Linked DNA regions of Oryctolagus cuniculus. The protein of the gene in region 1 interacts with the protein of each later gene in a pairwise test. Links are inferred from orthologs where the notes say so. Each region holds a gene or a part of one and is shown on either strand. Other genes may lie near its edges.

Region 1 (3,976 bases):
GCCGCGGCTCACTAGGCTAATCCTCCACCTTGCGGCGCTGGCACACTGGGTTCTAGTCCCGGTCGGGGCACTGGATTCTGTCCCGGTTGCCCCTCTTCCAGGCCAGCTCTCTGCTGTGGCCTGGGAGTGCAGTGGAGGATGGCCCAAGTGCTTGGGCCCTGCACCCCATGGGAGACCAGGATAAGTACCTGGCTCCTGCCATCGGATCAGCGCGGTGCGCCGGCCGCAGCACACCGGCCGCGGCGGCCATTGGAGGGTGAACCAACGGCAAAAGGAAGACCTTTCTCTCTGTCTCTCTCTCTCACTGTCCACTCTGCCTGTTAAAAAAAAAAAAAAAAATACAAGTTTAAAAAATAGCATAACTGATCAAAAATGATGTGCAGGAAACACAGAGGAGGTAAGTTTCAGAAAATCAAAGATCCAATTCCAGGTCTTGATGACCAATTTATGTTTTTTTCTGCCAGGAACAACTTGCTCCCATCAGCAGTGCACAGCATTCTTCTATTGCTATACAGGGAGATGGCACACATGTGCACAGCACACACACTAAAAGCCATACACATCTCACTGTTCGCAAAAAGCAGGGCAATATTACCCATCACACTCACCATTTTTATGGCGGTAACACAAACAAATAAACGTTACTGAGTTGTAGTGCTCATTTTAAAAGTAGAAGAGGGGAGTCCATAGGCTCCAAACTTAAAGCAAAGATAAGGAAGTGGAAATGCTGAAGGGAGCTGTTTACACCATGTACATGTGTTGAAATATTGCGCCGTGCCCCATAAACAGGCACAGGTCTTACAGGTTAGCTTTCGAAAGTAGACACAAGGATCAGTGCACAGAATCAAACTCTGGGGCCATGTAGTTTTCCTCCTGGTGATGGGTTGTACCTGTCATTATTGCTTGGCTGAATTTTTTCTTTCTGTCAAAAGGACAATACTTTCTATGATGATTTTTTGAAATAAGAATTTTGTTCTACTGACCTGTGGAAATAGTGTAGGGCCTGATTTAGTAACCTAAAGTTAGCCCTCTTTTATGAGGCATGAAACTCTTCCTCCATAAATAAACAACACTAATGAAACGTTTGTATGGAAACTGGTACCGACAGGGTACAGAAAACATCTGGTGCCCCGGTAAATACCCAGGGCAGGGAAGTGCTATATAAAAGTCTCAGGAAGGAAGGAGACTTTTTGAGTCAAAGCAAAGGAGTTTTGCAGACACTCTCTGCTCATCACTTCAAGAATGACTTCCGAAGCTTCCCACACACACTGCTCTTCTGAGTCCTGTGCCAGAGCCTCTGGCTGTGCACCTGCTTCCGCCCACTCCCTGGAAAGGACTTGTCTCCCCAGTGACGGCTCTGCAGGCAGATGTCGGAGCCCCGGCTTCCTCTCCAGGTCTTGCTTGTCCACCCGTTGCCTCACGCCATGCTACTTGGTTGGGAGTTGTGACAGTCCATGCTTGGCAGGGAGCTGCGCGTGGTGTGAGGATGGGATGCTCAACAGCAACGAGAAAGAGACCATGCAGCTCCTGAATGACAGACTCGCCAGCTATCTGGAGAAGGTGCGCAGCCTGGAGGAGACCAACGCCGAGCTGGAGTGCAAGATCCGAGAACAGTGTCAAGAGAGTATCCCACTGCCGTGCCCTGACTGTCAGTGCTACTTCAACATCATTGAAGATCTCCAGCAAAAGGTTCCGTGTCTCGTCACCTTAATGTTCCACCTTCCTAATCTACGATTGGCTTTACCTTTACCTTAGAAGAGGCATTCTTGCGGAAAGAAACCAAAGGAAAGGCGAAATCTGTGAGTTCATGAGATATGAAAGAGAGGGCACAGGACTGAAGGTTAGGAGTCAGCAGCAGCCCCACAGCTGCCCCTGTTCACCAAGGGGCTATGATGGGGACAGGGGCTGGTGGTCTTCAGCTGTATCTCCTATAGAGTGTGTGTGTGGCACTTCCATATGCATCCCTGCACATTTATATCAATTTTTACACCAGAATTGAAATGCCATTGTTATATCATACAATTTCACCTAGAAATCATTTTCTTCTCTTACGGATGAATTTCTATTACTGTTGGTGGGGATACAGTTCTAATACAAACTACTGATGCAGAAGACCTGAACAGCATTCAACTGCCAAGCAATATTGGGAAATGTCCTGAGCCCTTTTCATGTCTGTGCTTTGATTCTAAGTTGGCACTGCCTTTTCTCTTCAGTAAGTCACAAAGTTAACAAGCAAGCAGGCTGAAAGCAGCTTGATTCTTTCTTACATCCCCTCACAGACAACTAATGGCAGAGCCATGAAGGGTACAGGTGTTCAGGTTTCTTTCCAAGAACCATTTACTTTACCTAATAACTTGCTTCTCAGATCTTGTGCACGAAAGCAGAGAATTCTAGACTTGCTGTACAGCTCGACAACTGCAAACTGGCTGCTGAGGACTTTCGGACAAAGTAAGTTTACCTGCAATTTGAATATAATTTGTGGTTTTCTTTCTGTGTCTCTTACACACAGACACACACACACAGAATATTCTCTATATAATTTTTTCAAGCTAAAATATTCTAAAAGCTCAAATTTGTAATTATTTCATACACAAAATAAACGACAGCATGCGGCTTCCTTGAGCCTGTGTGTCAATCCCCCAGTGCACCCAGCACTTACACGGTGTGTGGGAAAGCAGCATTGCATGTATCTCTCTTGCTGTGTAAGGTACGACAGTGAACTGTCCCTGCGTCAGCTGGTGGAGAATGACATCAGTGGCCTGCGTGGGATCCTGGGTGAGCTGACCCTGTGCAAATCTGATCTGGAAGCCCAAGTGGAGTCTCTGAAGGATGATCTCCTTTGCCTTAAGAAAAGCCATAAAGAGGTGAGAAAGAGGCAGCAACCCAGAAGGAGTCTAAGAGTGGAAACGTTACACTGGTAGAGTTCAAGTTGATGTGTGCAAACTGAACCTGGGAGAACGCTGCTGAAGCTGAACTAACACTCCTCGAGGCTCTACTGCGCTCAGCCTGACCACTCCACTGTGACGTCCACCTCAGATAGGGCATGAAGACGCCTCTGGTATCCAGACCAGTTTTAAATATCCCATTTCTATGAACTTTTTAAAATCATAAAATACGAAAGTGTTGATCTCGTTTTGATGAACCAGAAAATGAAGTGCAGAATCATGTAATAGATGTGTTTTCTCTTTGGGCATTTGTGGATGATGACAACAGTTCACATTTACTGAGAACATCCTCTTTGAAGCAACTTCCTAAATTCTTTATATGTATGCACATATTAACTCTTCCATATCTCACAATAATCCCCCAGAACAAAATAAAATTACTATGCCAATTTTGCAGAAGAAACTGGGCACTTGTAAGGGGGGGGAAAGAGAATTAGCCCAGGGCATCAGAATTAAAATCCTACACTTTTACTCAGTATTTCACAACTCGGGAATGGGATGCCACTGTGTGTCGGATGGATTTTGCCCTACTGCTCTGTGACATTCTTCACTCCCTTCCCACTTTCAGGAGGTCAACTTGCTCCGTGGCCAGCTCGGTGACCGACTCAGTGTGGAGCTGGACACCGCCCCCACCATCGACCTCAACGAGGTCCTGGATGAGATGCGCTGTCAGTATGAGACGTTGCTCGCCAACAACCGCAGAGACGTGGAGGAGTGGTTCGCTGCTCAGGTCAGGCCCGAAGCAACATGGGAGCAGGACTCCCCGCATGTGCCTCGGCAGGGTTCTCTAACCATGCCTGTGTTTCAGACAGAGGAGCTGAATCAGCAGCAGCTGTCCAGTGCAGAGCAGCTGCAGGGCTGCCAGACGGAGATGCTGGAGCTGAAACGCACAGCCAACACGCTGGAAATTGAACTTCAGGCACAGCAAAGCCTGGTGCGTATGGCAAAGAAGGTGTCCGCCTTGTCACTGATAAATCGGGCTCTGACAAACACCCTTTCCCACAACCCAAGGCAGAGATCCCCAGTTCGTG
Region 2 (3,990 bases), about 28 Mb from region 1:
CCCTTGTTCAGCATGGTGCCTGAGCGTGGGCAGGCGGGGCGGCGGAGGCCGAGCCTGTGCACACCTCAGTAGGACCTGGGGAATACATGGGAGAAAGAACGTGGGGTGGGGAGGAGGAGGATCGTGGGAGAGAGCAGGTGAGTCAGCTAGGGCGTGCTGGCCTTCCCGGCCTGGGGCACCAGGAGGGTGGGGCCTGAGTGTTGGGTGAGAGGCCCAGGCTGGGGGGGGGGGGGGGACAGCGCAGCGTGAGGGTCAGGCACAGGGACCCGGCTCCAGAGGGATGGCGTTCGGCTCAGGGAGTGAAACATGGGCCCCTCCCCCACCTCTCTGTGCCTCAGTTTCCTCCTCCCTCTGCAGGGAGGCCAGGTGAGGGCCCGAGGCTTCTGTGCTGCAGGCGAGTTAGGCACTGTGCTCACCGTGGGCGGTGGTCGCTGCTGAGACCACCGGAAATGAGGCAGAGGCCTGAAGACAGTGCTTGGAGGAGGCGGGGCGCGGGGGGGGGGGCAATCTGCAGCACCCACAGGGAGCCAGCGGCGGGCAGTGATGCTTTGAGGTCTCCTAGGGACGGGCTGGTAATGGGGAGAGCTTTACAGATGGCGGGAGTCTGAGCTTGTGTGGATGCGAGGGGAGGGGTCGGGGTCTCCCGACTTAGGATGGCGAGGCCGGGGCAGGGGGCATGAGCAGGAAGGCAATGGGGGTGGGGGGCGGCAGGAGGGCAGGGGCAGGAGGACAGGTAGGCAGGGCAGAGGGGCAGGTGTGCTCCCGTCTGTCCCCGCTCCCAGGTTGTTTGATGGGGAGTGTGGAGCCTGTCTCAGGAGGGAGGGGTCTGCACCCGCATTCCCCAGCTCTTTAGAACAAAATCGCTGAGCGAGAAAGAACAGGCCACACCCCCTGGCAGGAGGGGCAGGGTCCCTGGAAGACCAGGGATGCTGCAGGCTGAGTGCCCTCCCAGTGCCCGGGACCCCAGGGGTCGCAAACGCCTGAGCCCCTTACAGGCTCTAGGAAGGGGGCTCGGGCGTGAGGCATGGACCGCGCGCCGCTGCCTGGGGCCGAGCACACGGGATGGGGCTGCGGACCCGGCAAAGGCGTGGGCAGGCGGGGCGGCGGAGGCCGAGCCAGGCGGGGGTCTCGAGCGATGAACAGGAGCTGGATTTGCAGCCGTGGGGGAAGGCGACCAATCGGAGGCCCGGAGCCGTGGCCAAGGCAGTATCTCGGAACCAATCATCTCTGAGGACAGGCCCGGGGCGGGGCCGCGCGGAGTTTGAAATCCGCAGCGGTGGGCGAGAGACCCGCTGTACTCGGATCGGATCGGCGCCTGGGGTGATCGCAGGTCGGGCCCCGGGGGGGCTGCTGTTCGGGATGGGGGAGGGGTCTGCCCAGGCCGGACACGGACGTGGGGAGCATCCAAGGGAAATCGGGCTGTCCGGGGGGCGGCCGCGGTGTAGGTGGGAGCGCGCCGGGTCAGGGCCGCGTTTTGAGACCCGTAGAGCCCCTGCCTGTCTTCGGCTCGAGGCCTCGGGCCCAGGGACGCCGGGGCCGAAAGGACAGCCCATGGAGAGAATCCAGGCCCAGGCGGCGGGAGTCCGCGGACTTCCCCTTGCGGGAAACACCCCCCTTTCCAGCACCCACAGCTACGAGGGCCCCACCCCACAGGCCTCCATCCTGTCTCCCTCCCCGGGCCTAGGAGCCCTGCGGAGCCTGGAAGGGGGCCAGCGATGCCCGCTGACCTGCCCTCGGCCCTCCTCCCCAGGGCGCGGTGAACAGAGGCGGCACAGCCAGCAGATGGCCTGTCGGTGGTCGGTGCGCCGGAGATCGCTGCTGGAGGAGGAGCAGCCGGAGGAGGAAACCACCACGCCGGCCGCAGCCGGCCAGCAGGATGCGTCCGCGGGGGCCCTGGGCTCCCTACGCAGACAGTTCCAAAGAAGGCTGCCCCTGAGAGCGGTCAGCCTCAACCTTGGGGCGGGCCCTTCATGGAAACGCCTGGGAACTCCGGAACCAGAGCAGCAAGGCCTCCAGGCGGCAGCTCGATCAGCCAAGAGCGCCCTGGGGGCCATGTCTCAGGTAACAGTGGCTGTGCTGTCCAGCTCCATGGACCCTCAGTGCTGGATAGAGCCCACCTCCAGGAGCCCCTGGAGAGTCTAGACTCCACCTGACAGGGACTTTGCACCTCTAAGAATTGCTAGCATAGAGTGGGCATTCAACAAATAGCTGAATGGTGCGGAGAAACGGAGGGAACAGGTGCTCATGATACAAGGGGTGAGAGCCATGTGTCAGCCAGTAGGGATGGTGAGGGGACGGCCAGTGAAGCCCCCCCCAACCCCCCCAGCAGGTGGCTCCATGGAGAATCAATGGGAAAAGGCAAGCACAGCTGGAATGGTGTGAATCCCACCGAGACCCAGGGACGGGGGTGTGGGCAAGGATTGTGTCTGGGTGTGGCCAGAGGAAGGGGGGGCTCTGATGTGTGTGGACCCCCAGGAGCAACCAGAAGAGGGAAGGATTCCAGACGGACGGGAAGTCTGCTCAGCTTAGTGTCGGGAACTTTCTCTTGAGCTGCCTGATGAAAAGGGTGGTGGGGCAGACACACCCGCGGGAGCCTGGGATCCTGGGTGCTGGACTCGCCCAAGGGAGAGCCGCTAACTTCAGGAGCTCCTCGGAAGGTAGACCCCCAAGAACCCGGTGTCAGATGAGACGGGCTGGCACCACGTCATGACGTACACTGGTGTGAGGTGCCCAAGGGCCTTCCGCCTGGAGCTGGGAGCATTCCGAGATGTCCCGAGGAGGGAAGGAGCCAGGGCAGCCATTTGGCCCCGTGATTAGGCTGCATCCCGTATCCAAGGGCCCAGGTTCAAGTCCTGACTCCCGATTGCAGCATCCCACTAAGGCAGACCCAGGGAGGCAGCCGGTGAGACCTCAGATGGTTGAGTCCCTGCCGCCCACATGGGAGACTGGGATGGAATTCCTGGCTCCTGACTTTGGCCCCTGGCCATTAAGGGCATCTCGGGAGTGAACCAGCAGGTAGGGCTCCATCTGTCTCTTTTTGCCTCTCCAATTACAACAGAAGAAAGGACAGAGCCATGGTAGCAGCCAGCCGTAGGAGGAGAGGGCTGGATGCCCCACTGGGCGCTCTGAAGGTGTGGGGAGAGGGCTGCTCCTTCAAGCCCTCCACAGACAGCTCTCTGGGCCCAGCCCATTAGTAAGAACCCTGAAATTGTTCCCACTGCCCCGGGCACAGGAGAGGTAGAGGGAGGTATCTTATCCAAGGCCACATGACATGGAATTTAGCTTGGGGCATGCACCAGCCCTCCCGCCTCTGGCATGCCACGGCATTCAAGGTCTTCACAGCCATCACCCACTGCCGTGATAGGCCTGAGAGTTCGGGCTTGTTCCTCTGAGCAATAAGGAGCCACAGGAGGGTTTCGAGGGGCCAAGCGTCCCGGGCAGAGCTGCCCTTTGGGCCAGCATGGAGGACAGATGGGAGTGGACAAGCGAGAGCAAAGGCAGGGAGACAGGTTTCCTCAAGAGGATGTGGGCTTAGACAACTGGAGTTCTATGAGCCAGGGCAATCCTCCCGTGATCGACCCCTGGGGGTGTGTCTTGGGTGGGGGAGCTCCATTTCCCATCCCTCAGGCTCGAGACTGAAAGCAGCCTGCAAGTACGGGACAAGTGGGAGGCCAAGGCTTGGAGGGAAGGCCGGGAGTGGCAGGTGACGCACCTGGGTTTCACGCATGCTCACCTTGCCTTGTAACTGTCACAGAGGATCCAGGAGTCCTGCCAGAGTGGCACCAAGTGGCTGGTGGAGACGCAGGTGAAAGCCAGGAGGAGGAGGAGAGGGGCGCAGACGGGTGATGGCTCCCCCCCGCACACCCTGAGCCAGAAGAGCACCCGGCTGTCGAGCACCACCCACCCAGCGCTGGGCTCCCGGGAGCGGGGGTATCGCCGCCTCTCGGCCCAGACAGGCCCCCGTGCCCACCTGCTGCGGCGGCCAAGGAG
Region 3 (3,500 bases), on another chromosome or scaffold:
ACTCTCATCGTCCCTGGGCCTGCACGGGCAGATTCGGAGATTCTGGGGAAACTCCTTCTTGCTATGGGCTTGGGTGAGCCGGGACATGATGCAGGGTTTGCATTATTCCTGCTGGAGATACTAGCCTGTCTGCCTCTTGTTCTCTCATCCTTTCTTGCCTCTTCCCCTCTTCTCTCTCTCAGTCTCCTGCATCGGCCCAGGAAACCTACCCTGCCCCGCCACGCAGAGCACAGACGGAAGGGGAGCCTCATGCCTGAGCCGAGGGCAGCGCCATGGATCTGACGAAGATGGGCATGATCCAGCTGCAGAACCCCAGCCACCCCACGGGGCTGCTGTGCAAGGCCAACCAGATGCGGCTGGCTGGGACGCTGTGCGATGTTGTCATCATGGTGGACAGCCAGGAGTTCCACGCCCACCGGACGGTGCTGGCCTGCACCAGCAAGATGTTTGAGATCCTCTTCCACCGCAACAGCCAGCACTATACTCTGGACTTCCTCTCGCCAAAGACCTTCCAGCAGATTCTGGAGTATGCCTACACGGCCACGCTGCAGGCCAAGGCGGAGGACCTGGACGACCTGCTCTATGCGGCCGAGATCCTGGAGATCGAGTACCTGGAGGAGCAGTGCCTGAAGATCTTGGAGACCATCCAGGCCTCAGATGACAACGACACGGAGGCCACGATGGCTGACGGCGGGGCTGAGGAGGAAGAGGACCGCAAGGCTCGGTGCCTCAAGAACATCTTCATCTCGAAGCATTCCAGCGAGGAGAGTGGGTACGCCAGTGTGGCTGGACAGAGCCTCGCTGGGCCCCTGGTGGACCAGAGCCCTTCCGTCTCCACCTCGTTTGGGCTTTCAGCCATGAGTCCCACCAAAGCTGCCGTGGACAGTCTGATGACCATAGGACAGTCTCTCCTGCAGGGGACGCTTCAGCCACCTGCGGGACCCGAGGAGCCGACATTGGCTGGGGGTGGCCGGCACCCTGGCGTGGCCGAGGTGAAGACGGAGATGATGCAGGTAGACGAGGTACCTGGCCAGGACAGCCCTGGGCCAGTCGAATCCAGTGTCTCGGGAGGACTGGGGGACAAAGTTGAGGAAAGGAGCAAAGAGGGCCCTGGGACCCCAACTCGCAGCAGCGTCATCACCAGTGCCAGGGAGCTGCACTACGGGCGGGAGGAGAGCGCCGAGCAGCTGCCACCCCCGGCTGAGGCTGGCCAAGGCCCCCCGGGCCGCCTGGAGCACCCAGCAGCCCCTGCGGAGAAGCGCCTGGGCATCTACTCGGTGTTGCCCAACCACAAGGCTGACGCCGTGTTGAGCATGCCGGCGTCGGTGACCTCTGGGCTCCATGTGCAGCCTGCGCTGGCCGTCTCCATGGACTTCAGCACCTACGGGGGTCTGCTGCCCCAGGGCTTCATTCAGAGGGAGCTTTTCAGCAAGCTGGGCGAGCTGGCGGTGGGCATGAAGTCGGAGAGCCGGAGCATGGGCGAGCAGTGTAGCGTGTGTGGGGTCGAGCTCCCTGACAACGAGGCTGTGGAGCAGCACAGGTAGGCCCTGGTGCAGTCTCGCACCTGCTGCTGGACGTGCAGCCCTCACAGCTTGCCTTCCACCCTGGCTGCTTCCAGGGCTGGGGGCCTAGCTCCCTTCTCTTCCTTGCTATTTATATATATTTTTTAAAAAACATACTTCTTCCAAAGTCCTGGGGGGATGGGGCATACCATTCACAGCGTGGTGAGGGGTCAGGTGGTCTTCCCAAAGCATCAGGGAACTCACAGGCCCAGGGTGTGACTAGGCCCTTCTATCTGTTTTTGCTTTTGGGGTCCCATTTGTTTCTTCTGTAGCCTGGTCCATCCTCTTGGACCTGCAGTGATGGACAGGGGTGGCGGGAAGGTGTGGTTCAGGCTGAGGCCCCCTGTGGCCTGGATCTGGTTACCAGGTTCAGGTACTGGGTTCCTCTCCTAAAATGGCAGCCTGGTGCTGTCTGCAGCATGGGAGGGGCCAGAAGCTGCAGAGGCCGCAGGAGTAGCCGCTGCAGGTGCCGTGTGTCGTTCTCAGGAATGTGCATCCTGACATTCCTTGTCCCTTCTTATTTTCTCTTCCTGCAGTCACATTTGGGGGGGGGTTGATTTAAATTCTGGGTGGGTATAAAAGTCTGGGCCTTGCCACCTGTGAAGTGTTAACTCCTGTCCCAGCTGTGCTCACCCAGAGTTAAATGCTGCCGGCATTGGCTTTCCTTGGGCTTCTGCTTGCTTCTCTCTGAAGTAACCATTCGCAGAGCTGTTAGGACAGGCTCGGTTTGCGACAGAGCACGTCAGGTAAAGCTGCAGTTTTGTCCCACTAGCCCTGTAGGTAGGCAGGGCTCTTCTTTTGCAAGGCGAGATGCTAAGACTCGGACGTAAAGTCCACTTTGCAGGGTTACGTCGATAGAGGCAGGGCTGGATTTGAAGTCAGGTCCTCAGCCCCTTGTGCTTTGCTGAATCTTGGAGTCATCCAGTCTTGAAGCAGATCCTGCCTACGGAACAGGCTTTTGAGGATTGCTCCTGAGAAGTGGAGTAACTCGGGAGAAGGTTTTCGTGATGAGTCATGTGCCTGTCATCTTACCCTCCAGTCCCTGGGTCCCAGGACGGGGGTAAGAAGCCTAGTTTCTGTTGCCCCCACGGCTCACCTCTCCATGCTGTGTGGCTGGTCTTGCGTGGACCCTGCTCACTGCCCCCCTCCCCATGCCTCTGTGCTGCTTCAGGTGCGGGGGTGCGAAGTGAGGGTGGTGGTGGGGCTTCTGGGAGCTGAGCCGCTTGCCCTCCCCAGAACCTGCTTGGATGCTATGAGACTCTCCTGGGTGGAAAATAGTACTGCTGACCTAAATGCAGCCCCCCTCCCCCTTTTTTTTCCCTGGTGGGCGTGAAGAAACTGCCACTGAGGTGTGTCTTCCTTGCATGGGTACCGCTCGGAAGCAGACTGAGGCTGGGTTGGTTGGAGCTCACACTTTTTCCTCTGCAGGAAACCCCTCCTGGACTTGACCACATAGGGTAGTTGGCCTCTCCGGGGCGGATTCTGGCAGCCGTGTGCTGAGAAGTGGGTGATGATGGAACGTCAGGTTTTCCCCCAGCTCTTGTTGCATCTCAGTTTCTTTCCTACTCCCGAGACGGACACAAAAGACGTCACTCCCCTCTGGTGGGGCCCTCGCTCCTCCCAGGGGAGGTGGAGGGGTGACTGCTGTTCCTTTCCAGAGAGCCTGGGTGGCGGAGTTAGCCGCGTCAGGTGGTGAGAGCTTGTGACCCTGACCGTTCTCAGCATGCCGAGCCTGGTGTTACTCTTGGCTAAAAATGGAGCTGGTCATCAGGGTTGGTGCTGAATGGATGAAGCGAGACACAGAAACCTCTGGGGCTGGACTGGCTCACGGTCACGGCGAAGGTGAACAGAGCCCTTCAGTCCCTTCACCTTGTTTGGGTCTTGTTTCTGCAGCATCCTCCGTGGCTCTGAGTTCAGGAGCTGCCTTCCAAGGGGTCA
Region 4 (2,743 bases), on another chromosome or scaffold:
CTTCTCCTCCCGCACAGCCGGCCCCCCAGACCCTCCCCGGGCCGCCCGGCCGAGCTCAGCTGCCCCTGCCTCCCGCGGGGTCCCCCGGCTCCCACCTGTGTGCGGGGACTTCCTCTTGGACTATTCCCCCGACCGGGGCCTGCCCCGCGGTGGCGGCGGAGCAGGCTGGGGGGAGCTGCTGCCTGCAGCTGAGGTCCCAGGACCCCTCTCCCGTCGGGATGGGCTCCTGGCCATGCTGCCCGGCCCACCACCTGTGTATGCAGCTGACGGCAGCAGCCCCCTCCTCCGCAGCAAGGACCCCCACACCCGTGCTACCCGCACCAAGCCCTGTGGCCTGGCCCCAGAGGCTGCTGAGGGTCCGGAGGTCCATCCCAACCCTCTGCTGTGGATGCCCCCACCCACCCGTATCCCACCTGCCGGCGAGCGCAGTGGCCACAAGAATCTCGCCCTGGAGGGGCTGCGGGACTGGTACATCCGGAACTCGGGATTGGCTGCGGGGCCCCAGCGCCGGCCTGTGCCCCCCCACATGGGCCCACCACACCCGTCCTTCCTCCACGCCCGATGCTATGAGGTGGGCCAGGCGCTGTACGGGGCTCCCAGCCAGCCACCTCTCCCACACTCGAGGAGTTTCACGGCGCCCCCTGTCTCTGGCAGGTATGGAGGGTGCTTTTACTGACGGGTTCGGGGTCTCTTGAGGCGGATGGTAAGGTTACCCAGGCCAGGGAGCAGCCAGGCATGAGAGCTAATGACTTAGACCACAGGGAAACTAGCGGCAGCCTTGGCACAGGGGCACCGTACCGGGCACAACCTGCATTAGTACTTGGGGTCCTGGTGGAGGCAGAGCTTGGGCTTTGGTAGCAGCAGGTCTTCCGCGAGCTGTAGAAGAGTAGGTTTTCGCTAGTCTGGTCAGGTGAAGATAAGCCTTGAAGCCAGGGTGCTGAGAGGAAGGGGCATCCCGTGCCTTCATCTTTTTCTTCGTCTTCTCTGTGCCCCGTGCTTGGGAGCCTGGAGGTACTGTCCTGTGCCTGCCTCCACCTCTTTAACGAACCTCTTCCTCTCTCTTTCTGTGTCTTGTCTGTCTTTTCCTCTCTTCTCTACCTGTCTTCCGGATTCCTGCTACCCCTTCCAAAGATACTACGCGGACTTCCTGTACCCCCCGGAGCTGAGCGCTCGTTTAAGTGACCTGACGCTAGAGGGGGAGCAGTCCTCCAGTTCTGACCCCCAGACCCCGGGGACGCTGGTCTGACCCCTTCTGATACATCTCACGTTGGCCTGGGCATGACTCCAGTCTGGGGAGCACACAGCTGACCTCGCTGAGCCCTGAGATGTGGCTGCTCTCAGTCTTGGGCAGGGTGGGGTGGGGGGCGGGGAGGGCACCCAGCTGGTCTTCCAATGCCCCTCCCTGGCTCCGCGTGGGCCCAGGAAGGTGTCTGACACCCTGGTTCTCCTCTCACACTGTGCTGGGGACTGGGGGACCCTAGCCAGCTTAAAGGAGATGGGAGTGATGTCGTGGGGATTCCACGCCCCCTCCTCCATTTCTGTTTACAGTTGTGATTTAGGTATTCACTGTCTTCCCCTTGCCCCCCACCCTGCACTAGGCATTTTATAAAAGGGAAACTGTGATCTTGTCCTGGTTGGGTTCATTCCTGTCCCCATGCCCAGCCTGTTCCATTCAGGAACCCCCTCCACCAAATGGACCATGTAGGGTCTCAAGCCCCTGTTTGGGGCAGCCAGGAGATTCTGGTGTGCACAGAACTCCCTGCCACTCCCCACCAGGGCAGTTTTGGGGGAGTTGGGCTCTGCCTACACTTGGAAGGATTGAAGTCTCTGGGTGTGGTCCCTGAAGGAGGCTGCATCCCTGCCTGTGCCCTGGGCCTCTGCCCTGACCATTCCAATCAGGAGGCCCCAAAGGAGGAGCAAGGGGCAGAGCCCTCGGGGGTGTTGTGTCCTGGGATGCTGCTGTGGTTGAACCTGGCGTCGGAAGATGCCAGTAAAATCCTCAGGTGACGTCTGGCTATGGGCCACAGGCCACGTCACATCTTTCTTGGCTTTCCTTCCACTCACTTTTTAAACAAATCACACAAGCTGTGTTTTCTATGATACCTGTCTGTGATTAACTGGAGTTGGGGGTTCCCCTCCCCCCTTTACCTGGTATTAAAACTTTTCTTTTTGTACAAATGGATCTGGGCCCAAGACACTACCCACACTGGAAGGGGATTTCTACAATAAATGTGTAAACCGAATCCATGTGCTCCTCCTCTGCCTTGTTTTGTAGGCCACACCTTTAATTAAGCCTGGAAAATAGGGGCCAGCATGGTGGCGTGGCAGGTAAAGCCCCTGACTGCAGTGCTGGCATCCCATACAGGCACCGGTTCAAGTCCTGGATGCTCCACTTCTTCTTCTTCTTCTTCTTCTTTTTTTTTTTTTTTTTTGACAGGCAGAGTTAGAGAGACAGAGAAAGGTCTTCCTTCCGTTGGTTCACCCCCCAAATGGCTGCTACTGGCTGGTGCGCTGTGCCGATCCGAAGCCAGGAGCCAGGTGCTTCCTCCTGGTCTTCCATGTGGGTGCAGGGCCCAAGCACTTGGGCCATCCTCCACTGTCATCCTGGGCCACAGCAGAGAGCTGGACTGGAAAAGGAGCAACTGGGATAGAATCCGGCGCCCCAACCGGGACTAGAACCCGGGGTGCCGGCGCTGCAGGAAGAGGATTAGCCAAGTGAGCCTTGGTGCTGGCCTGGCTGCTC
Region 5 (3,234 bases), on another chromosome or scaffold:
CTGCTGTCAGAGCGAGGCAGCCAGGCAGTCAGGCAGGGAACAGAGGAGGAAACTTACTTTCAGCAGTTACAGACCTTCAGAGAGCTCTGAGCGACAGCTGCTGGCTGGCGCGTGAGGAGGGCCAGGCTTCAGGGGCAGCGCTGACCGGGAGGGGCAGCCCCAGTAGTGGCCGCGGGAGCGCCTGCAGGACGGCCACGGGTGTGGCGGAGTGTGCAGGTCACCAGCGTTTCATTGCCCTTCTCATCTGTTTTTATTCCCCTAGGAAATTTCTGAAGCATCATTTGCGAGGAAAGAACTGTGAACTTTTGCTGGTGGTGCCAGAAGAGGTGGAAGCCCATCAGAGTTGGAGGGCAGACGTGTGACTCCCCAGCCAGCCCCGGCCCGGCCCCACCCCCAGTCCTGTGTGACAGCCCCGCCCTCCAGTCCTGTGACAGCCCCGCCCTCCAGTCCTCAGTCCCACCAGTCCTGGTGTAACCGTCTCACCCAGGCTCACCTTGGCCCCGCCTTTCGGTCCTGTGACAGCCCCTCCCTCCAGTCCTGTGTGACAGCCCCACCCGGCCCCACCCTCCAGTCCTCAGTCCCACCCGGCCCCGCCCCCCAGTCCTGTGTGACAGCCCCACCCTCCAGTCCTCAGTCCCACCCGGCCCCGCCCCCCAGTCCTGTGACAGCCCCGCCCTCCAGTCCTCAGTCCCACCTGGCCCCACCCCCCAGTCCTGGTGTAACCGTCTCACCCAGGCTCACCTTGGCCCCGCCTTCCGGTCCTGTGACAGCCCCTCCCTCCAGTCCTGTGTGACAGCCCCACCCGGCCCCACCCTCCAGTCCTCAGTCCCACCCGGCCCCGCCCCCCAGTCCTGTGTGACAGCCCCACCCTCCAGTCCTCAGTCCCACCCGGCCCCGCCCCCCAGTCCTGTGTGACAGCCCCACCCTCCAGTCCTCAGTCCCACCTGGCCCCGCCCTCCAGTCCTGGTGTAAAGGTCTCACCCAGGCTCACCTTGGCCCCGCCTTCCGGTCCTGTGACAGCCCCTCCCTCCAGTCCTGGTGTGACAGCCTCACCCGGCCCCACCCTCCAGTCCTCAGTCCCACCCGGCCCCTCCCCCCAGTCCTGTGTGACAGCCCCACCCTCCAGTCCTCAGTCCCACCTGTCCCCGCCCTCCAGTCCTGTGTGACAGCCCCACCCAGCCTCACCTTGGCCCCGCCCTCCAGTCCTCGGATGTGCTGTGGCCTCCACAGTGGGGCTGCCCTTGCCCCCCAAGCATCTCATGGGGTCCCTTCGGATTTGGCAGTGCAGTAGGACAGACGCGTGGCGCCGTGAGAGCCACCCAGCCTCCAGTGCTCCTGGAAGGCAAGGCGAGCAGGAAGAGGCACTCAGGCTCGCCCCGGCTCTGCTCAGGCGCCACCGCTCCAGACTCCGCCTCCGCCTCACCTCCCCTGTGGCACCCGCGGGTCTGAGGACGAGGGAACACAAAGCCGTGACCGGCTCGAAGGACCCAGAGCATGGGGTCTCTCAGGAAACGTCTCCAAACCCCAGCGGCCGCACCAGGCCGTCTCCCGCCCTTTGCCCCATTTTGAAGGGTCGTCCAGCTCGCCTCCGATCCTATCACGAGAAGGTCACGGAGACCCCACGCCCGCAGGGGAGGCCAGGCCCGAGGTGGCGGGGCCACGCCGGGAGCGGCATGGCACGGTGGCTGCTGCCCTGCACCCGCTTCTGTCCCTGCCATCCCGCCGCATGGACTCAGGAGGCTGTGGGGCCAGACAGTCCTCCCAGATGGCCCTTCTGGCAAAATCAGAAAAAATAAGTCTGCTTTTGGCATCAAACCCTACTAATTTGGGATGGAGTTGGGTGAAGGAAGAACACACGCAGTACGGCAGCCAGGATTGGTAGAAGCCGGAGCTGCCAGGGAGGCAGGGGCCTGGCGCTGGTGGTTCTGTGCGGCACAGGCCGCTGGCTGACCCGCCCCTACCTCCGGAAATAGCTGTAGGCCACTTTTCTCCCTCAACTTTGGAAAACAGGAGAGGAAGTAAGTGGACCCCCAGGGCGCCTGTGGTTGCCCAGAGGCAGCTCGGTCTCAGGAGGCCCGAGAGCGGCCGCTGGCACAGCCGGCGTGGGGCTCAGGCCGTGGCTCCCCCGAACTCGAGTGCATGTCCACACCAGCACTTTCTCTGCACGTGCGCCGTCTGGCCGTGTCCGATGCCGAGTGACAAGCCACAAGCAGCCGTCGCATTGTGCCCTCGGCCACTGCTGTGGTCCCATCCTCCAGCAGACCTGCTTGGCACCCAGGGAGCTCCTGCCCTGCACAACATTCCAGCCGCCGCAGCCAGAACCCCAGCCCACCCAGGCCCTGGGGTCCACTGGCGCCGGCGGCGATAGTAAGCCATTTCCTGGAGAGGAAACTCCTCTGCACGCCCTGCCCGGGCCTGTGTAGACGGCACCTCCCGGGAGCCCCGTGCATGCAGAGTCCACGCGCCGATGGGACATGCAGACGCTTTGACTTTAGGGCCGGTTTCTCTGCTCATGCCCGATTCTGGTGCTTAGGAACAGGGACCCAGGCTGACGCCCAAGGGCAGGAAGCCCACTTCCTGCAGGGGAGGGAGGCCCGGCCCTGATGCCCAGTGAGGGGCACCCCTAGGCTGGTTTTGCTTTTGTTCCCCTTTTTTGTTGGCCTTGTGCTGGGTTTGTTTACAGAAGATGTATTTTGTTTAACCAAATATTAAAAATGGAAAACTCTGTACATAACTCTTACCTGCCTGAACTGTTCAGAAAAAGCCTTAGTATGATGCCACTGCAGGGGAATCGTCCTCTGAGGAGGCTAGCAACACCACGCTGCCCTCACCTGCAGATCCAGGCACTACTCATCTGAACACTGCGAAGCGCCCTGAGGCACTCTGCAGCTCCCGGGGAGCTCACAAACGGTGGGCCTCCCGGTTTGAAGGCCCCGCCTGCCCAGCACAGCTTGTACCAGACGGGATCCTGCATCAGCACACCCAGACCACACAGCAGGGTCGTCAGACGGCCTAGGTGGGCGTCCAGCTGCTGTCTAAATCTGGAACCATACTGCCTTGCAGATTGTGCAGTGTCCCAGTAAACAACCCACTGAAGGCTTAGGAAGGGTATCACCATGGTGTTCATTGGTGGTGTGCCTGGTCTCAGCATTAAAAAAATGCAAAGTGGGTGTCTGGCCTGGGTTAGGACCCTGGTCAGGCGGCGGGCATTGGTGGAGTGCAGCAGCACTGGAG
Region 6 (4,230 bases), on another chromosome or scaffold:
AAAAATATATATTCAATGACTAATGTCATTTTGAGTTTTATTAATAAAAAAGTGTGGAAGTTTGTTTTCTCTCCTTATAAATAAGTACCCATATAATATCCTTGATTTTGCTTCTTAGCATACAAAGACTAAAAATATTTACTATCTGGACATTTACAGAAAATATTTGCCAACCTCTGATGTATAGCCTGATTTATAGTATTGTTACAATCAGTGGTCAGTTTTCTGAACCAATTTCAGTGTAGCTGTGAAGTATTTTGTAAATGTTAGGAATATCTACCATCAGTTGACTTTACTAAGTAAAGATTATCTTCACTAATGTGGAGAAAGCCTAATGCAATCAGTTGACATGCCTTAAGAGGAAAACTTGAGGTCTCTTGAAAAAAAAGAAAATTCCACTTGTTGACAACAGTTTCAGTTTCTGTTGCTGCAAATTTTCAGCCTGCCGTACTGCTTTGCAGACTTGCCTAGGTGGCTAAAATTGCATAATCGAATTCCTTGCAATAAGTCAATCTCTCGCTAGTTGACTGGTTCTGGTCCTCTGATGGAATTCTGCCTAGCCCAGTGGTTCTCTCTAAAAGACAACGCCTCGTTTGTGCTACTAGAGAATTATAAAAGAGAGAATTCAGGTAAAATCACTATTTTGTCATAGCTGCCAGCCTGCTGTGATACGGCGTCATCTGTCTTAAAGACTACAGAGTAAAGCAGAAAAGGGTAGTGAGAGTTAAGAAAGTTCAGAAAGGCTTAAATTTAATCTTATCATTGTGGATCAAAGAGACATTTGTGTTTCATTTGTTCCAAGAGCAAACACAAAATGCAAGAAATGTCTCCCTTAGCCTAACACAGAGGTCCCTTTTCCTGTCCACTACTACTAGCTCTTAGAGCACTGTTGATCTCTTGGCCTTGTCTGGAAATGGTGTGTTTGTCTATTTTCAGAGGAGAGTGTAGTGAACTTTCATCAGATTTTTCATTGGCTTTGTGTCACCAAAAGGGCCCACAAATCTACGAATTACCTCTTGTTGTCACCTGCTGTGTACGTTGCTTTCTCTAAGACCTAACAATCATCACAGGAAGTAGGTTCCAGTATCTCATTTTGTAGACTGAGAAGACTGAAGTTTCCATGAGTTGAGGAATTTGTCCCAGTCTTGATTTGAATCTCAGCCTGACACCAAATCTCACACTAAGGAGGTAGGGTGCGGGAGTGTCTCTCTGGTCTCTATGCTCAGGAGTCCAGAAAATTCTGCACTGATGTGGCCTGGATGGCTCCAGGTCTCTGCCAGGTTTCTGCCCCCTCGCCCCGGGAGGTGAGAGGCTGCGAGTGACCCCCAGGTTTTGCGGGGGACCGCTAACCCCCAGTCTTCTCTAGCGTCCCTCGCCTCCGGAAGGGGGAGGAAGGCGGGGAGCCCCGGGGAGAGGAGGGCGGGCCCAGCGAGGGAGTTTGAAAAGAGGAAGGAAGTGGGGCCCGGCACAGCGCCTCACAACCCCCTGTCAGCTTCCCCACAGGAGGACGCGAGGCCCGCAGGCCCCCGGCCCAGCCATGGGCCCCTGGCGCAAGACTGACAAGGAGCGGCACGGCGTGGGTAGGTGCGCGCGTGGGACCGCAGTCGGAGCCGGGCAGGTGCTGGAGGGTCGCGGGCGGCAAGATGCTGCGCCACCTGGGGCGCGGTCAATGCCTCGGTTACAGGGGCTGCATCAGGCTGCCTGAGGCCCGCGGGGCGGGAATGAGCAGCCGGGGAGGAGGTGGGCTTTCCAGCCCGCGGGCTGTGCCCTGCCGGCGCCCTCCTGCCCGCCCAGCTGCGCCCTCTCTGCCGGGCGCGTCGTCGCCTGCGACATGGGTCAAGCTGAGCGCCTGTGTGGCCGAGGGGTGGACTCCATGGCCCCCTCTGGTGAAGGCCTGGCTGTCCTGCTCTCCTGGCTGGTGAGGCCCAGCTTGCTTGCCTCCACCTCTCCTAAGCGACAGGATCTATCTGCCTCAGGCGGCCTGCTCCTCCTCCTTGGGCAGGTGGCCCCTGACTTGGCCAAGCATCCACAGAGCCTTGCAAGCCTGGGGCCGGCCGGCCGGGGGCTGGAGGGCGGGAAGGCGGGATGCTTCACTCAGCGCCCCAGGGCCTCGTCAGCGTCAGCCATCTAAGCTCCCAGAGGCCTCTGCCTCCAGCTCAGGCGCGCGGGCGGAAGTGGTAGCAGGTAGGGCGTCTCTGAGTGGCCTCTGTGGTGCAATCCCTGGTAAACTTCAGTGTGAGCTTAAAACTCATTCTGGAGATTGCTACACAGGCTGATAGCGGTCCCCACCCTGGAGATGGAAGATTCAACAAGTGAGGCACTGATGGGGCCACTCTAGCACCAAGAGTGATTGGGATGCAGGGGGTCCTGGTGATGAAGTGGTGTGGGGGACATTTGAAGATGAACAATTGGTAATCCTTATCCTTAATGGGGTCTCAGTGTCCCCATCTGTAAAATGGAAAGCTTCTCTGACGCTGGCCCTCCCAGCTGGGCTGTGAGGCTAGTAACATTCACAAAGGGAATATTACCGTTCAACAAGGCAGACCATGCAGGTGGAGGGACCAGAGTGGTCTAGCAGATGAGAGCTGAGTGGGGACAGAACAGCTGGTCACAAGTCTTGGCTGGAGGGGAGGGTGCCTTAAAGGAATGATTGAGCCCCAGTAAGGCGGAGGACTTCTGTGAATGCCAGGCTGGGGAGTTTTTTTTTGGTTTTGTTTGTTTTTGTTTGTTTTGTTTCATTTTGTACTTCCCCCATGTAAGCAGTAAGGAGCCATAAGAGAGTTTCTAAGAAGAGGAAAGGCATAAGCAGATATATGCTCAAGCCAGTATGGAGAGAGGCTGGGTGGACAGAGATCCCAGATGCCTGGGTGGCACGCAGGGGACAATGTTGGTGGTCCAGGGTAGCTAGGACAGTTAATTGGCGATTGAGAGCAGCGGGACAGAGTCCTACCCACTGCACAAGAGCTGTGTGCATGGCTGCTGTGTAGACCTTATAATGTGGTTATGAACACACGGGCTCTGTGGCATATTCTTAGATCCCAGCTTCTAACAGTTTCAAACCCCATGACATAAGGCAAGTCACTTACTCTTGCCATGCCTCAGTTTCCTTGTCTGTATAATGGGCATAATACAGCACCCACTTTTCAGGGATCTGGGAGGGCTAAATGAGTTGCAGCTACACAGAGCAATCTGTATGAAATGTTATCAGTTATTATTTTTTAGACATCCCTTTTGGGCCCAGTTGAGGACATGATGTCTCAGATGGAATGGGGCTACAGGAAGGAGTAAGCTTCTCACCCTCCCTAGCAGAGGCTACCCTGCCTCTGTGGCCTCAGCGATGGAGAACTATCAGGCTGCAGCCCAGAGACTTCTTGGACTTGTGGAGCTGATGTTTTCCATGCCTAGTTATGAACAATACTTTATGGGAGTGAAGGGTGTGCTGGTTGTGTGTGGAGGGAATCAGCACTGCCTGGCAGGTGCCTGTGCTTTAAAGAGATCTCTTCTCCACGCAGGTAACTTTTGGAAGCCACGGATGTTATCTCCTCCTCTGTAGGCTCTGTGTGGCTGGAAGGGAAAGGTGAGGCTTAGGTTGTCCTACAGGGGACTGGAGTCACACAACAGAAAGAAGAGAAAGTGGCTTGAGATTGTGAAGGCCAGGTTCCAGCTCTGATAGAATTACGATTTGCAGATTAATCTGTGCTCCGGTTTTCTTACTTTGAAGTCCAGCTACTAATGCTTCGCTATAGCAAAGCTTTCTTTTATGAAGATTATTTGAAGCAATGATTATGGGGTCTTGGAAGAAGACGAGGAGCTGACGCTGCATAAGGGATTGGAGTGGGGAGGACTTGGAGGTCTCTGGACACTTTCCTGTTCCCATTCCTCATCAGAGCATGTGGCAGCTCTTCTTCCTAAGGCCTGCTAGACAGGGCTGCTGGTGCTGGCGGGTCTGGAGGGCTGGGCTCACCAGTAGCTGCTTCATCACAGGTAATCGCCAGCTCCCTTGTTATCTTGCTGTCGGTGGGCAGCCAGGGTGAGACTCATGTAAACCCCTGGCCAGGTTACTAGAATTAGTCCAGTGCAATGCCTAATTCTTTGGGAACTTATAGTTTATCAGGAAGACAAAAAATAAGTAGATAAATCAGTAAACATATAAATTGTAACTGTGATATGTACAGATAGAGGAACTTTCTATGAATGAGGATATTGGAAGGAGTAAATTGGATGACTTGC
Region 7 (4,037 bases), on another chromosome or scaffold:
TGACAGAGGAGCTGGGGGAATTCACTGTGTGCCCACTGTGTGCTGTGCCCCATGTGACAGGACCTGGGGGGACTCACTGCGTGCCCACTGTGTGCTGTACCTATGTGACGGGAGCTGGGGGAGCTCACTGTGTGCCCACTGTGTGCTGTGCCCCATGTGACAGGAGCTGGGAGAGCTCACTGCAGTGCCCACTGTGTGCTGTGCCCCATGTGACAGGAGCTGGGGGAATTCACTGTGTGCCCACTGTGTGCTGTCCCTATATGACAGGAGCTGGGGGAGCTCACTGCGTGCCCACTGTGTGCTGAGCCCCATGTGACAGGAGCTGGGGGAGCTCACTGTGTGCCCACTGTGTGCTGAGCCCCATGTGAGAGGACCTGGAGGAGCTGGCAGCAGTGCCTACTGTGTGCTGTCCCCATGTGACAGGAGCTGCGGGAGCTCACAGCAGTGCCCACTGTGTGCTGAGCCCCATGTGAGAGGACCTGGAGGAGCTGGCAGCAGTGCCTACTGTGTGCTGTCCCTATGTGACAGGAGCTGGGGGAGCTCACTGCGTGCCCACTGTGTGCTGAGCCCCATGTGAGAGGACCTGGAGGAGCTGGCAGCAGTGCCTACTGTGTGCTGTCCCTATGTGACAGGAGCTGGGGGAGCTCACTGCGTGCCCACTGTGTGCTGAGCCCCATGTGACAGGAGCTGAGGGAGCTCACTGTGTGCCCACTGTGTGCTGTCCCCATGTGAGAGGAGCTGGGGAAGCTCACTGCGTGCCCACTGTGTGCTGAGCCCCATGTGAGAGAGGAGCTGGGGGAGCTCACTGCGTGCCCACTGTGTGCTGTCCCCATGTGAGAGGACCTGGAGGAGCTGGCAGCAGTGCCTACTGTGTGCTGAGCCCCATGTGACAGGAGCTGCGGGAGCTCACTGCATGCCCACTGTGTGCTGTCCCCATGTGACAGGAGCTGGGGGAATTCACTGTGTGCCCACTGTGTGCTGAGCCCCATGTGACAGGACCTGGGGGAGCTCACTGTGTGCCCACTGTGTGCTGTCCCCATGTGACAGGAGCTGGGGGAGCTCACTGCGTGCCCACTGTGTGCTGTCCCTATGTGAGAGAGGAGCTGGGGGAATTCACTGCGTGCCCACTGTGTGCTGAGCCCCATGTGACAGGAGCTGGGAGAGCTCACTGCGTGCCCACTGTGTGCTGTGCCCCATGTGACAGGAGCTGGGGAAGCTCACTGCGTGCCCACTGTGTGCTGAGCCCCATGTGAGAGAGGAGCTGGGGGAGCTCACTGCGTGCCCACTGTGTGCTGAGCCCCATGTGAGAGGACCTGGAGGAGCTGGCAGCAGTGCCCACTGTGTGCTGTGCCCCATGTGACAGGAGCTGGGGGACTCACTGCGTGCCCACTGTGTGCTGAGCCCCGCCCCGTCTGTGAGCCCAGCTGGGAAAGGTGTGCTCCCTCTGTCACTCTTCATCCCGGGTCAGCCAGCCTGGTGGTGCTGCGTGCTGTGGCCAGGCCTGTGCGAGCCCCGGCCCTCTCGCTCTTTAAAGGCCGTGTCGTCAGTGCCGTGACGCTCCCCAGGAAGCTGCCCATGTTTGGCTCCCAGAGCCAATGATATCATCACAATAGGTGGCTCCTGTCTAAATAGGGATCATTTGTGAAATGAGATTAGCGACTTGATCTGGCAGGCAGGAGGCGGAGGCACCTGCTCCGGGTAATTGATGTCCCGGGGGACAGCACTGCGCCACCGTTCAGACGCCCCTGTCCATGGCTAATTCCATCAGGAGCCAGGCGCCTGCCTGTTGTGCTGCGAGCCAGGCCGCCCCCACATCCACATGGAGCCAACTCCAGATCCGTGTTTTCTATCACGCTTGAATATATGGGACATGCATCGCATCCTGTGCCTGCCGCGCTGCAGTGTGCCTGCTTTGCAGAGCCCCGTGGCGGCCTCGGCCAGGCTGTGACTGACCGGAGCCCTGGACACACGCTGAGTCTCCTGGCCTGCTCCACGGCGGCAGCGGTGCTGGCGCTTCCCTGGGGTGCCCGGTGCCCTGTCTGCCGGGAGCCTGCCGCTCTGCGTCTGGACGCTGCGGGCGGTGAGTCCGGATGAGTCATTCCTCACTTTTCCCATCTCGGGTGGGCACTTGCCCAGCAGGGTGGCCTCGGCTGGAGGGGTGGCGAGCGGATGGGCGCCCAGCAGCCCCAGGCTCCAGGCGGCATGTCTCCCTGCCTTCCCGCCAGCCATGGTCTACGCTGCTCCTGGGAGTGAAGCGCTCCTCTCTGGACAGGCAGCGGCAGCAGCCAGGGGCTGGCGTGACTGCAGCTGGGAGCCTGTCAGTTGCCATGGAGGGTTTGGGGGACGGTCTCGCGCGGCCGCCCAGGACTGCAGCGCTGTCATTCTCAGAAGACAAGTTCAGTCTCCAGTTCTCCGTGATTCGGATGGCCACGGAATGCCAGAGCACTTTGTAATGCAGGACCTGCTCTGGCTGGCTGGCCTCTGTCTGTCGTAGCCAGGGTGCAGCTGCTGGTCTGCTGCCCAGCTCCCTGGGGAGCGAGTAAACCCAGGGCCCTGCAGCTGTTAAGACGGGTGCTTGATCTGCAGACTCTGGGGGCAGAAGCCTGCGGGGAAGGTGCCTCTGTGAGCCCAGTGCAGTCGGGTACTCGGGCCTCACAGCAGCTGCAGGAAGCAGGATCAAAGGAAGGGGGTGTTTGAGGAGACGCAGGGAAGAGCTGCCCTGTGTTTGGCTTTGAAAGCGAAAGCCGTTTCCGAAGCACGCGATCCCAGCGTTTAGTGCTGACCGAGCAGCGGCCGCTGCCTTGTGGGAGCAGGCGGTGTGCGAGTGTCCTCGGGGCTGTGCGGCTCCAGACGAGGCGTGCTTCTGCGAGCACAGGCTTGGGGCGTCACAGCGGGGAAGCCTGAGCAAGTGCCCTGCACCTGCTCCTCTGGGGGAAGATTCCGGTTGGGCTTTGCGAGCGTTTCCCCGGCTTTCTCGCCTTGCTGTGCTGTTTTGTCTTGTGTCTCTCTCAGTGGCCCTGCCGCGTCCAGCCCTTCCTGATGAGACTGGGTGTCTGTGAAGAGGGCCGTTGCCCACCCAGGCGTCCAGGTCACTGCTCGCTCTGAAAGTTCTTGTTGAGAACAGCCAGAATACCTAGCACGGAGACTGCACCAATCAGGAGCTGTCACCACTGTGTCCACCTCTGGGGGGTGGGGGGACACGGTTTCATTCACAGTTTTCCTGCAGCCCTCAGGTGCAGCTGCACGCCTGGTGTGGGGCGGAGATGCTGTGACCTTACGCTTGTTCGCAGAATAGAACAAGTCAGGGTTCTTTCCCCCACTTTGTGATTCATGCTTCTTATTTAGCAACAAGTCCTGCCTCGCGCAGAATCATTCATCACTAATGCCACTCAGCTGAGAGGCCTCCACGCACAGGGTGCCAAGGTCCTCAGAACAGCCTGGAGGTCAGCCTTTGGAGCTCACCTGGGGCCGCTGTGCCTGCGGAATGCTGGCGTCAGGGTCTGACAGGTGCCTGCCCGGGGGCAGGCGTCACTGCACCTCGGCCCGGTCTGCGGGGCTCACTCAGTAACACGTGTTTGCATGGGATGAATGTAACTTTTCAATCAGATCTGTCCATTCAGTTGTCATCAAAGGCAAAGCGCATAACTAGAGGCCAGGTTGGGGGCAGTGGCGGTGTCCACGCTGGGCACCATGCAGCCTGCGCATGGATCTGCAAGTGTGGCACTCACACACCTTCACGGTCACACGGGCGCTATGCCAGGACCTGTGGCTCTGAGGGCAGACCAGCCCCACTCTCAACATCCATCACTTTAAACCCACAGTCTCTGCTTTCCAAGGGTTGTCACTCGTGAATAAACCCCGCTGAGTCTGCAGCTTCTCTCTCCAGGGAGTCACCTTTGACCCCAGCAAGGGAAGCCCACGCTCTGCCCAGGCAGGCTGGCTGAGCTCCAGACACATGGGAGCTGCACTTTGCCGTTCCGTGTGGTGTGGTCACTGCTGCCGTGTGCCGTGACGGCAAGAGTGCCTCTCAGGACAAG

Evidence for each region.
Region 2: the proteins of KRT40 (region 1) and PIMREG interact in binary tests that used the Homo sapiens proteins (3 or more experiments, as listed by UniProt). The two-hybrid records come from large-scale screens. The link is inferred for Oryctolagus cuniculus from reciprocal best matches to the Homo sapiens genes KRT40 and PIMREG.
Region 3: the proteins of KRT40 (region 1) and ZBTB16 interact in binary tests that used the Homo sapiens proteins (3 or more experiments, as listed by UniProt). The two-hybrid records come from large-scale screens. The link is inferred for Oryctolagus cuniculus from reciprocal best matches to the Homo sapiens genes KRT40 and ZBTB16.
Region 4: the proteins of KRT40 (region 1) and CCDC120 interact in binary tests that used the Homo sapiens proteins (3 or more experiments, as listed by UniProt). The link is inferred for Oryctolagus cuniculus from reciprocal best matches to the Homo sapiens genes KRT40 and CCDC120.
Region 5: the proteins of KRT40 (region 1) and JOSD1 interact in binary tests that used the Homo sapiens proteins (3 or more experiments, as listed by UniProt). The two-hybrid records come from large-scale screens. The link is inferred for Oryctolagus cuniculus from reciprocal best matches to the Homo sapiens genes KRT40 and JOSD1.
Region 6: the proteins of KRT40 (region 1) and DOCK2 interact in binary tests that used the Homo sapiens proteins (3 or more experiments, as listed by UniProt). The two-hybrid records come from large-scale screens. The link is inferred for Oryctolagus cuniculus from reciprocal best matches to the Homo sapiens genes KRT40 and DOCK2.
Region 7: the proteins of KRT40 (region 1) and DLGAP2 interact in a two-hybrid assay, tested with the Homo sapiens proteins (2 studies listed by BioGRID). The link is inferred for Oryctolagus cuniculus from reciprocal best matches to the Homo sapiens genes KRT40 and DLGAP2.

The regions. Positions count from the first base shown.
Region 1 is NC_091448.1:21,607,952-21,611,927, forward strand, and holds the start of KRT40 (keratin, type I cytoskeletal 40), read left to right. Parts: upstream 1-1,176; 5' UTR 1,177-1,242; coding exon 1,243-1,689; intron 1,690-2,365; coding exon 2,366-2,448; intron 2,449-2,707; coding exon 2,708-2,864; intron 2,865-3,513; coding exon 3,514-3,675; intron 3,676-3,753; coding exon 3,754-3,879; intron 3,880-3,976. UniProt on the Homo sapiens protein: May play a role in late hair differentiation.
Region 2 is NC_091448.1:50,103,201-50,107,190, reverse strand, and holds the start of PIMREG (protein PIMREG), read left to right. Parts: upstream 1-1,190; 5' UTR 1,191-1,330; intron 1,331-1,750; 5' UTR 1,751-1,782; coding exon 1,783-2,061; intron 2,062-3,754; coding exon 3,755-3,990. UniProt on the Homo sapiens protein: During mitosis, may play a role in the control of metaphase-to-anaphase transition.
Region 3 is NC_091432.1:105,955,740-105,959,239, forward strand, and holds part of ZBTB16 (zinc finger and BTB domain-containing protein 16), read left to right. Parts: intron 1-182; 5' UTR 183-272; coding exon 273-1,540; intron 1,541-3,500. UniProt on the Homo sapiens protein: Acts as a transcriptional repressor. Transcriptional repression may be mediated through recruitment of histone deacetylases to target promoters. May play a role in myeloid maturation and in the development and/or maintenance of other differentiated tissues.
Region 4 is NC_091453.1:34,214,785-34,217,527, forward strand, and holds the end of CCDC120 (coiled-coil domain-containing protein 120), read left to right. Parts: coding exon 1-654; intron 655-1,131; coding exon 1,132-1,246; 3' UTR 1,247-2,243; downstream 2,244-2,743. UniProt on the Homo sapiens protein: Centriolar protein required for centriole subdistal appendage assembly and microtubule anchoring in interphase cells. Together with CCDC68, cooperate with subdistal appendage components ODF2, NIN and CEP170 for hierarchical subdistal appendage assembly.
Region 5 is NC_091442.1:115,289,247-115,292,480, reverse strand, and holds the end of JOSD1 (josephin-1), read left to right. Parts: intron 1-262; coding exon 263-362; 3' UTR 363-2,734; downstream 2,735-3,234.
Region 6 is NC_091437.1:56,569,429-56,573,658, forward strand, and holds the start of DOCK2 (dedicator of cytokinesis protein 2), read left to right. Parts: upstream 1-1,430; 5' UTR 1,431-1,537; coding exon 1,538-1,580; exon of another isoform or gene 1,581-1,584; intron 1,585-4,230. UniProt on the Homo sapiens protein: Involved in cytoskeletal rearrangements required for lymphocyte migration in response of chemokines. Activates RAC1 and RAC2, but not CDC42, by functioning as a guanine nucleotide exchange factor (GEF), which exchanges bound GDP for free GTP.
Region 7 is NC_091439.1:118,473,480-118,477,516, reverse strand, and holds the start of DLGAP2 (disks large-associated protein 2), read left to right. Parts: upstream 1-1,237; 5' UTR 1,238-1,863; coding exon 1,864-2,080; intron 2,081-4,037.